Linked DNA regions of Solanum lycopersicum. The protein of the gene in region 3 interacts with the protein of the main gene of each other region in a pairwise test. Links are inferred from orthologs where the notes say so. Each region holds a gene or a part of one and is shown on either strand. Other genes may lie near its edges.

The links.
Region 1: the proteins of SPL (region 3) and INO interact in binary tests that used the Arabidopsis thaliana proteins (3 or more experiments, as listed by UniProt). The link is inferred for Solanum lycopersicum from reciprocal best matches to the Arabidopsis thaliana genes SPL and INO.
Region 2: the proteins of SPL (region 3) and TCP4 interact in a two-hybrid assay, tested with the Arabidopsis thaliana proteins (3 studies listed by BioGRID, with this or other methods). The link is inferred for Solanum lycopersicum from reciprocal best matches to the Arabidopsis thaliana genes SPL and TCP5.

The regions. Positions count from the first base shown.
Region 1 is NC_090804.1:448,555-452,319, forward strand, and holds INO (axial regulator YABBY 4), read right to left. Parts: upstream 2,512-3,765; 5' UTR 2,239-2,511; coding exon 2,155-2,238; intron 2,069-2,154; coding exon 1,937-2,068; intron 1,733-1,936; coding exon 1,618-1,732; intron 1,409-1,617; coding exon 1,360-1,408; intron 1,235-1,359; coding exon 1,159-1,234; intron 1,025-1,158; coding exon 959-1,024; intron 509-958; coding exon 452-508; 3' UTR 238-451; downstream 1-237. UniProt on the Arabidopsis thaliana protein: Essential for the formation and the abaxial-adaxial asymmetric growth of the ovule outer integument.
Region 2 is NC_090802.1:61,726,851-61,730,116, forward strand, and holds TCP4 (TCP transcription factor 4), read right to left. Parts: upstream 2,369-3,266; 5' UTR 2,193-2,368; intron 1,908-2,192; 5' UTR 1,870-1,907; coding exon 844-1,869; 3' UTR 661-843; downstream 1-660.
Region 3 is NC_090806.1:68,525,112-68,528,834, reverse strand, and holds SPL (SPOROCYTELESS/NOOZLE-like protein), read right to left. Parts: upstream 2,645-3,723; 5' UTR 2,086-2,644; coding exon 1,477-2,085; intron 1,377-1,476; coding exon of another isoform or gene 1,374-1,376; coding exon 1,254-1,373; intron 1,169-1,253; coding exon 839-1,168; 3' UTR 629-838; downstream 1-628. UniProt on the Arabidopsis thaliana protein: Transcriptional regulator of sporocyte development. Acts as an adapter-like transcriptional repressor recruiting TPL/TPR corepressors to inhibit TCP transcription factors. Required for nucellus and embryo sac development.

The DNA.
Region 1 (3,765 bases), on a different chromosome or scaffold from region 3:
ATATTATTATACGCAAAATGGAATTAATTAGAAATGCCTCTAATTTATTTGAGTTTGCTGGTGTATATTTGGACATTTTATATTATTTAGGGATATATTTGAATATTTCCAATTATTTATGGGCATATTCTGAAGTATTGCATTTAAGTTAATCTAAACAATTAAAATAAAAAGATTCATCAAATATTATTTGGTTAATTTTTTTATGTATATATATATATATTGTAATGCATCAAATACATAAATTATTATTATATATATGTCACTACTTTCAAACTTCGAAAAGTTGCAAACATAAACTTCAATGACCCTATTAATTGACAATAGCATCTTTAACACAAATAGAAATTGAAACCAACAGTACTAATAGCAAGAAAATATCACATACTTCAGTTCTTCAATTTCGAGTTCATTAAGATCTCTTCACTCATGAAACGGAGTCGCCTTTCATTCAAGGAATCAAACCGTTGCTATCTCTTGGGACCATGGAGTTTCTTGCAGCAGAAACCTATATATAAAAGGTTTAATTTTAACAGACATCAATGAATCCGTTGATACCAATTAAGGGAAATATTATTACTAATACTTTGATATGTATGGTAGTTGGGGCAGCTATTCAATCCAATTAAAATTATTGTCATCATGTTTTAATATCAAGAAATTATTTTTTAGCGTAGAACATGTCATAATTTTATTACTCCCTAGAAAATAAAGAATTAGTGATGACGCACATATTTCATAATAATTTACGGTAATTTTATGTTATAATAATACAAAATATTTGGTAGAAGCTTTTTAGCTATACAATTAGCTAGTTTCATGTGAATGTTCAAAAGTTAAAACATTAGTATATGAAATGTACTTCTGTTTGTCCATTTTTGGATTATCACTTAGGTTTCTTCAATCATTATGCAAAAAATTTCAATTGCCAATTTCATTTAACCATGGGTGTATATACCTTTGCCATTTTCCTCTCTCCAAGACTACAGCCTCCTCTATGTTGACTTGGTGGAAAGTGGGCCCACTGAAATAAAAATCAATTAATTATTCAAAAATTAGTTGCATTTTATGGTATTTCATATAACCAATAACATATTTAGGAGCTATTATCTTTTTCAAGATATTTATTAAGGGTAAATCAATAAAAGTATATCTTACATTTTTTGCTGCTGTACTGAAAGCTTGCTTGTGAGTCATGTTGGGGTATAGGGTCTTCAGCCTCTTGATCTCTTCTCTGTAAAAATAATAAATTAAATATTGTCAAATAATTTTTAACATAACATAATATAATTATTAGTCTATAATAGTTACGATAGTTTATGATAATTAATTAGGATAATTATTAAACTGAAAATGTACTTGATAAAGCAATTATAAGCCGAAGGAGCTCTCTGTCTCTTCTCTGGAGCTGAAAAAAAAAATGTAGTATGATTAATTAGACATGTATGTCCTTATAATTATTACAAGTAACATACATAATAAATAAATAATTACAAATTTTTTTTCTAGCTAGGAAGACCGAGTGGAATCAAAGAAATTGTTAGGCTGATCACTAAATAAGTATAAATAGGTGCAAAAGGAAACTTTGTTCTATCGGAACGAAGAACGAAACTTTACGTTTATTGACGACTTGATTAAGTGGAAGAACATTATTCTCCAATTGATCTTCTTCATCTGAGTTTGAATTCTTCTTATTAGCATCATCAGTTTCATCCTTGTCAACTTCTGGTGGCTTTGGCCGTTGAAAGTACAGAAAGAAGAATTTAGCTTATATACGCCGATAATATATCTATTTATACGTACTCAAATTTTTGATATGTTGTAATAGGTAAGCTATCTTATTTTTCTTTCAGGTAAGACATTAATTATGTATAGTTATCTTTAACTGACTTAATAATATAAAAATAAATTATATTGTTAGAGTATAGAAGTTAACCTGATGAGTTTGGTCGAAGGAAGCAAAGAGATGAAGAGAAGGTTTAATCAAGTTGAGAGAGAGGAGAGTAGTGCAATGCCCACATCTCACTGTTACTACTTTGTTGCACAAGCTGCTGCATGGCACACTAACCTGCATTTTTTAAATTGAGATGATATTAAGAAGTAATTATATGAGTTTACTAGTAACTTAAATTAATGAATAAATTTGAATTTTACAAGTAATATTGTAGTACAATAGCCACATTGCACATAGCATATTGTGTCTTGGAGTTCAAACAAATGGTTATTCAATGTTGACATCTTTTCCTCTTGATCTTCTCAATCTCTTTCTTGGTTTTTACTGTCTTTTATAAAGTGGAGTGAGAGAGGAATCTAGAATGGAATTGAGTTATTTATACATAGAGAAACAAGTAATATGTTTGACAAATAATTTACTTGAGACGAGGGTCGATATGAAACAGCCTTTTCAGCTACTCCATGACTATTATAAAGATAGAAATAACGTCAACATACATGCACCTGCTAAGATTAATATCACTAGAATTTAATATCTCCAGAATAAAAACTCTTTTTACTAAGATTTGATTTTAAGCCACAAATTGTATTGATACGTTTAATGTCATGTATATATATATACTTATAACCAACCTAAAAACATTATCATTCATGTATATGACTTATTTTTAATTACTGCAAGTATTGAATAGAGGTTGTTATTAATCGGAAAACAACATTTCAATATATATATATATATATATATATATATGAAGAGCTGTGTTTGACTATGTTTTTTCCCTTCTCATGTATCCACAGCACACATTGATTGTTGATTTAAATGATTCAAGTTAGTAAGTTTTAGTAATTTTTTCAGGTTTCCCATGGGGTTGATGGGCTGGCTAGACTGGGCTCATGCTTGTTTTGTTTAAACAGTAACTTTCATCTCATTTATAAGGCCTATTCCTATCTCTTTCACATATATCAAAGTATATATATAGGAAATGAGGTATATGATGAGGATTTGTCTTTCTTGAAACAAAGCAAATTGTATACTATAGTTGACTACAAGAAAAATGCTAGTCTCTATCTATTTAATTTCTATGTATTAATTAATTAATGTTAGTGTAACAAATGTTATCACAAAGAAATGAATCTTGGGTTTAAAATTAATTGCAAAAACTAGTTATTATCCAAATTATATATATTTAAGGAGATCGTCACTCATATCTTAAAAGTCTGATATGTGAGACTCTATCTTCAGTACCCCTTCGCCTTTACCACACACTCACGGTTGTATATGGAGGCTCAATATCGAAAATTAAAATCAAAATGAGTCCTGATTTGATATATACCATGCATGGAAAAAAATAGATCTCGAACGTCTTAACTTAATCCCAAAAATTAATTCAAGAAGTGAGGATTGCTCAAATCATAATAAAGAGATGATTCATCTCTTGAATGGCTGATGTGAGACTCTTAATAGTTGTAGTAAGGGTTTAAGATCTATAAATTATTGCAATATGTTTGATGAACTTCCCAACACGGCTAACATATCTGCTTGAGTTATAAACAAATTAATTAGATTATTTAGATGTCCTAAACAAAAAAAAACAAAAGAAACCAAGAAACTTCATTTTGATACGTTTCTGTAAAAGAAAAGTTTGGTATTATTATCTATTCTATTTATGTAAAATAAAGTGAGATGAGGCACTACGTCTCCCCATTTTAAATGTTTTTATATAATTGGATGTATGTAATTTGATTGGTTGGTGTGTTTAAAAAAATAAAAGAGTTTTTATTTTATTTTAAGATATATAAAAAATGTTAAAA
Region 2 (3,266 bases), on a different chromosome or scaffold from region 3:
CTTCCTCTTATTTTCCAACTAATTCGTCTAAAAACCTAATTAGATATGAAAGAAACTTTTTGTTTTCTAGTTAGATTAAAACAAATTAATGGAGTAATTAATTATATTACTAGTTATTACGTCTATCATTAGTACACAGCTAAGCATGATATGTTATGTATCAATTTTACATGACAAAATTGAACTTGAATAGTTTCGTTTACCTTCTATAAAATATTTTTATTGGCTAAAATCATTCATACTTTGTGGTTAGATCCTATTATGGATTTTTCACTATATTCTTCAACATCTTTATCTCTTACTTCTCGGAGCTCTGATAATGAAATAAAGAAAAATGAGAAGAAGATACCAACAACAACTGATTGACTTGACTACGTAACTATAGTTCCAGATCTGTTGCATCATATTTGCAATTACCTTAAGGTTGTGAGAGTCGAGAATAAACCCAACCTTTGCTTCGATTAGAGTTTCTACTATCGAGATTTCGGTTAAACCATGACATATTAATGATGCAAATCCAAGAAAAACAAAATTGAAAAAATTAATGCTAAACACACTTTCAATTTGTATAAATTAAAGGTTAATCCAATACCAATAATAATGTAGATTTATACCACTTGAATCACCCAAAAAAAAAAACTACAGATTAATATTTGTATATTTCAGAATAGAGATTAAAACTTTATAAACCTATATGGTATAAGAAATAGAATGATTCACTTTAATTATTTGTTGTACCTGTGAAGAAGGAATAATGTAGCATGATTATAATCCAGGACAACAACTTTAATTCAAAATATTTGAAGTAAAGACGAAGATTCATTTCCTCCACTTGGCTTAGAATCAAATTGCGCGACCTTCATGTGGTTGATTATCATCATCATCATCGTCATCATCGTCATCTTCATCATCTCTGGAACTCATCCATCTAGGATCATTATTGAGACTAAAGGGTTTCATTTGGGAACTAATCAAATTAAGAGTTGGCATCACAAGTTGATTATTGTGTGAAGTAGTTGAGCTTAAGAAATTGAAATGGTTCATATTAGCCCTTGGATCATGACTCTCAATGGGATGATGATTTGTTATATAGTTAGGAGATGGAACTATAGGTTGAAATGTTGTTGTTATTGGATTGAAATACAATTGAGAACTCGAGGGAAAAGGCGAAGATGATGATCCCAAAGATAGAGGGAAACTAGTATTTTGATGAGATTGATCATCATCTATTTGGGATGAAAATGAATGATTATGTCCAAAATGACCTAAAGACAAATTCGAATTAGGCTGATGATCCCATTGATAGTTATAAGAATTGAAAGGCATGCCTGGTAAATTAGATGATCGTTGATTTCCTAAGGTAAACATATTATCCTCTTGATTTGATTCCTCATTTGAAGCGATTGACTTGTTCCTCCCATGTTCCAAATAAGATGTGTTCGCGTTCAACCATTGAGCACGGACATCAGAGAACTCTTCATGAGATGGTTGTTGAAACCGAGTGAAGTACTCAGGTGGTACAGGAAGTGGAGGAAGAGTATCGATATCAAGTTTAGTCGCTTCTAAGAGCCAATCTACAACTTTACTAGGTTGGCTCAGGCCAAGCCTGTCTTGTAGATCATACAATTGAATTGCAGTTGGAACTGATAGTCTAATTCTTCGATCTCTAAGCCCCCTTATGGTGCACACCTTACTATGCCTATCTTTCCCTCCAAAAGTACGCGATACGCGTACTATTCTTGGGTTTTTATTAGCTCCCCATTGCCTTGAAGTACTCGATGGTGGTGCACTAGTCGTCTTTGAGGCCAATCTACTATCATTATTTGATTCTTGTTTCGTCTCAAAATTATTTCCACTCGATGAATTCATGATATGTATATCATATATCGTTCTTCATCAGCATCGATCTAGTAAAAATCAAAGAAAAATATTAAGCATCTATTAGATCGAGATAAAATATTATCAAATTATACTATACACACAAAAAAAAAAAACTCCATCAATGGAAATTTTCTTGTGTACATAGTGCAATTTTTGGGGGAAAATTGGAGTTGTGATTAATATTAGGGTAACCTCCAAAATCATTTCACTAAACACCCAAGACTTTGTAAAAATGACTAAGATCTAAAAAAATAGATGTTTAAAATTTTGTATAAACAATTACTACTATAAGAATCATGAATTGTACTTACATAATTAGGTTTTGTAGAAGATAAACTACAACTTGTATATATATCTTTGAGTGGCTAGCAAAATCTCAACATGGAATTAACAACTCTTGATAACATTTAACTTCTTTTATAATAATTTCTCCCAAGGCTTGGGGGAAAAAATGAGTTTATGGACAAAATTTGACCAAAAGAGAAACAAGAGAGAATAAATTTACAAGGATAAGTTATGGTTTGTAGAAAAAGAAGCAATGTTAGATTCTCACTATGTTATAATATTATCTCAAAAGAGGAAAGTAGAAGGCCACGTGGCGCTTACTCGTGTGTAATTCAATTCTAGGGTTGAGAAAAATGTAAAGTTTTAAGTATTATGTATCTACTGTGTATATAAACTTTTATAGTATTTGTATATATAATCGCGATAATTCTTTGTCCATAGGCTACAAATAATAATGTAATAGAAATTTAATTTCTCGTATTTAGACTACTCCATCATGAATAGTTTTTTTTTTTTAACAGTCTATTAGTCAAGAAGCTAGTTATTGTAGTAGTTTCATATTTTAATTTTAAGTTTTGATTCTATTTAATGATGCTAAGAAAGGAAGGTACACTGTTAACCTCACAAGGACCACTCTAGGGTTAGAAGAAAAAAAAAAGAAAAGGGTTTATTGCTTTTCTGCAAACTATAGTAGTAGTACAAATTAAAATAAATGACTAATCATCCGAATTTAAAATTTTGAATATATATATATATGTTTGTTGTGAGATATTGTCGGTTACATGTAGAATAATTATATTAAATAATAATCAGTTATTAGGGAAAATGATGTGAAATACATTTGAACTTTGATTGATATTATTGTTGTAGTATCAAATTTTAGAAAAGACATTTTACCCCTACATTATTTAATAGTGTATTTTAAAGGTATATATGTATTTACGTGGACATAAAAATATTACATAATTATAAATAGTAATGTGTCTACGTGGACATAAATATACCTTTAAAATACACTATTAAATAGTTTGGAGGAGTGGGGAAGGTTAAAAGGTTCTCCATAAAGTTTCATATCGAAATAGCAATTTCGATCAAAATTG
Region 3 (3,723 bases):
TCGTCTGTCTCAATTTATGTGATATCAAAAATAATTTTGAATAATAAAAAGTAAAATAATTTACATCTATACTCACTTCTAGACTGCCATAAAGCACTTTTTTTCTTTTGTTTTTTTAGTGTCTGATCAGTATATTATGCTTGACTCCCATAAAGAGATACTCTTCTATTGTATTCCTTTTGGTTTAATTAGTGGCTACCCCTTTTAAGGAAAATATACAAACTCTCTCTTTTGTAAATATTAATTACCTACCCCCTTGTTTAATTACACCCCCACCCCACCATAATAAATACTAGCTTGCTAGGGTTTTGGTAGATTATGCTTCCACTGGACTTGCAACAGATTAAGACATAGAGAGACAGGAAGGAGTTTATAGATTTTAGATTCTAGAAAAGATAGGTTTTGGATATGTTATTTATACTATATTATAATCGTGATCTTTAGACCAGCTTACGTTATTATACATCTAAACTAATTTTAGTCTATGTTATTGTTTTCAATCCGTCCCGCATAATTTGAAACAATTGATCATGAACTCTTAAATAAATATAAGATCTAGAAAGAAAAAAAATAGTGAAGCATCTACATCTCACTGACACACAATCCCAAGAGTAGAGAGAAAGAGATATAGATACAATAAAAACCCAGAAAATGTATTGCTCCATTTTGGAGAAGTAATAACAAGTAGTACTAGCTAATTCAGATAAACCAAAATGGTAAAAATAAAGTAGTGTTTGGGTTTTTCATCAGATAAATTTTCACACAAGTGTGAAAAGACAAAATTCAGAGAAATTAAACCATATACTTTTTCAAATGATTCTGTAGAAAGAAAAAAAAACTAACAAGAAAGCTTCAGTGAAAGATCAATGGAACTGGTAGGTGTAGTAGTAGTAGTAGTATCTGCAGCCCAAGATATTGTAGTAACAGAAGAAGCTTCACCATTAATAATATTTCCAGTTGCTGCTGCTGCAGCAGCAAATGAAGAAGATTCTGGTGAATTATAAGCATTCATCGTCGTTGCTTCATTCTCGAAACAACTTTTGTAAGTATTAGTGCTTTTGCTGCTGATTTTTTCTGGAAAAAAATCATACTCCATCATTACTGCTCCTTCATCGGATGACAACGCGGATGAACTTCCCTTTCTATGGATTGCCACAATCTCTACGCCCTACAAATCACTTAGTTTTCAGTTTTTCGAAGCGAACAATTGAATAACATTAGGGCTAGCTAGTGCAATTTTATTTTTGTTTTACCTTTTGTTGATGGCTAGGTAAACTGTATGAGTGAAGCAAAGGCTTTGTTCCAGAATCTTCCTTTTCTCTGATCATGTCCTCCATATGAACGCTAATTTCTTCTCCATTGATCATGCGTTTCTTCTTATGATAACGAAGAAGGAAAATGTGAATAAATTACCAAAATTATAAATTAAATTAAAAAAAATGGAAGGAGAACAATTTGCGTTTTATATACTCATACTTTGTTGCATGATCGGCAGCGATCGGAGAAACATGAGTTGTTGCTGCTAAACAGATTTGGCATTGGATACAGCTCCTTTGATTTCTCAGTACTGGGCTTAGAAGTTGCAAATCCGTAGAGATTCATCTGAGATTGAAACTGATGATGATCATGAGAAGAAATCATCAACTGATTTGTACTACTAGATCCAATAAACCCAGTATTCACAACTTTTTGTTGCATAAAAAAATCATTAGGGCTCACTGCACACAATTTGGGGAACTGAAGTACTGGTGAAGAGTTCAAAATAGAATTACTATAATTTCCAGGATCAGCACTAGCACTACCACCGCCGGTAAATGATGAAAGAGGAGTTAAATTAGGGAAATTGTTATTAGAGTAATACTGATGATTATGATGAACGCCATGGATAGTACTGTTTTTTATCTGATCTTGTACTCGAAGACGTTCGAGTTGTTCAACTCCCATTCCTCTTTGTGGTTGCTTCTTCTTCTTCTGTCCATTTTTACTCGACCTTCTACGTCCTCCCGTTGAGGTCTGGTTCATTGTTTGATGATTTTCCTGAGGAATAGGATGATGATCTAAAGAAAACTGAAGAGAAGTAGCCATTTTCAATGGAACAGTAGTTGAAATTTTGTGAGTTGGTGGGGTGGGGAAGAGGCAGTAAGAAAGGTGTTTTTGGTGCAGAGAAAAAACACCAGAGAGACTACAGATGAGAAATGCAACAGAACATGGTCTGGCTAGCTATGGTGTTTTTATCTGTTACTGATCTTGTTGTCTTTTATACACACATAATATGTGATTATTTTCTTTTTTTTAATTTCTTTTTTTACTCTGACCAGGGAAAGTGATATATATAGTACAATTATAAATTAACAGTTATTTCTGGTGGTTTAACTTTCTTTTATTTGAGTTTAAAGTAATACAAGTAATAATTTTTATTTAAATCTCAGGTACATGTAGATTTTTTTTTTTTTTTTTTGGAATGATTTGTTAATTTCTATGGTGATTATATTGGGTTTTATTATACTTGAATTTGATGAAATTAAGTCTAGAATTTTTAAAATAACTTCACGAGTTAATGATAAGGTATTCATACACTATCTTCTTCCCAACTTTGTCTTGTAGTATTTTGCTAAATATTTTTGTTGTTTACTAAAAAGTAATTTATAATTTAATTTTTAAATATTTTATTTGTGAATTTAATTAAGATGTGTATTAACGATATAATTATTCAAAGATATTTATATATTAGCCCTTCTTTGTAATATTTAAAAAGGAACACATGACAGTATGATGTAATAGTATAAAAATATTTTATTCGGTAAGTATATACAATTTAAATTGTTTATTGATTATCTATTTATGATCACTAATTATTGAGCCTGGTTTCTAATTAGATCAGAAAAGTAATATGTGATACATTAAAAAAAAGGTCTTTGGACAAAATTAATTAATATAATTATTTCTTCAAACTTTAATTATTTTTCTCTGCTAAAAGAATCTTACAAAGAAAATTGCAAATTGAATTTAAAAGGAGCCTAAGTATTCAACAGTACTGACGAACGAGTTATCGAGTATTTGGATTAGATTAAAAGTTATTCAAATCTATTTTTGAGTTATTTTTGACTTTTGAAAGTGTTTGACAAATATAAAAATAACTTAAAATAAGTTAGAAAATATTTCGCAGGATTAAAAATAATTTAAAATAAGTTAAAAACCAAAAGTAATTTTTTATTTTAAATGTAAATACATTTTTTAAATCAATTTAAACAAGCTCTTATTATTGTTTCTTGTCCCTCAAATTTTTAAAGAGTTTTAAAAACCTTTGAAGGATAAATGTACAGTTCTAATGTCAAATTTCCAAAATTTATTTATTTATAAAATATTTTTTAAAAGAACAATCAATTTGTGTTCAAAAGCTAAATTTCTTTAACTTTTTGAAATAAAAAACTTTTGGTACATGTACTATGTTAAAGAGCATTTTAATTTTTTTCTTCCAAAAATTTAGCCAAACACTCATTTTCTAAAGCTGATATTCTAAACTTTTTATGGATTCATAATAACTACAAAAATTACTTATATACACATATTAAAATACCTAATAAAATCAATTATTATTATAAATTAATTTAAAATTACTATAAAATATTATAAACTTTATATATCGAATCGATTAAACATGTTTGAATATTAATCAAACTAACTACTACGGTAAAGAAAAAATAACATTAAAAAGTTGTAAAG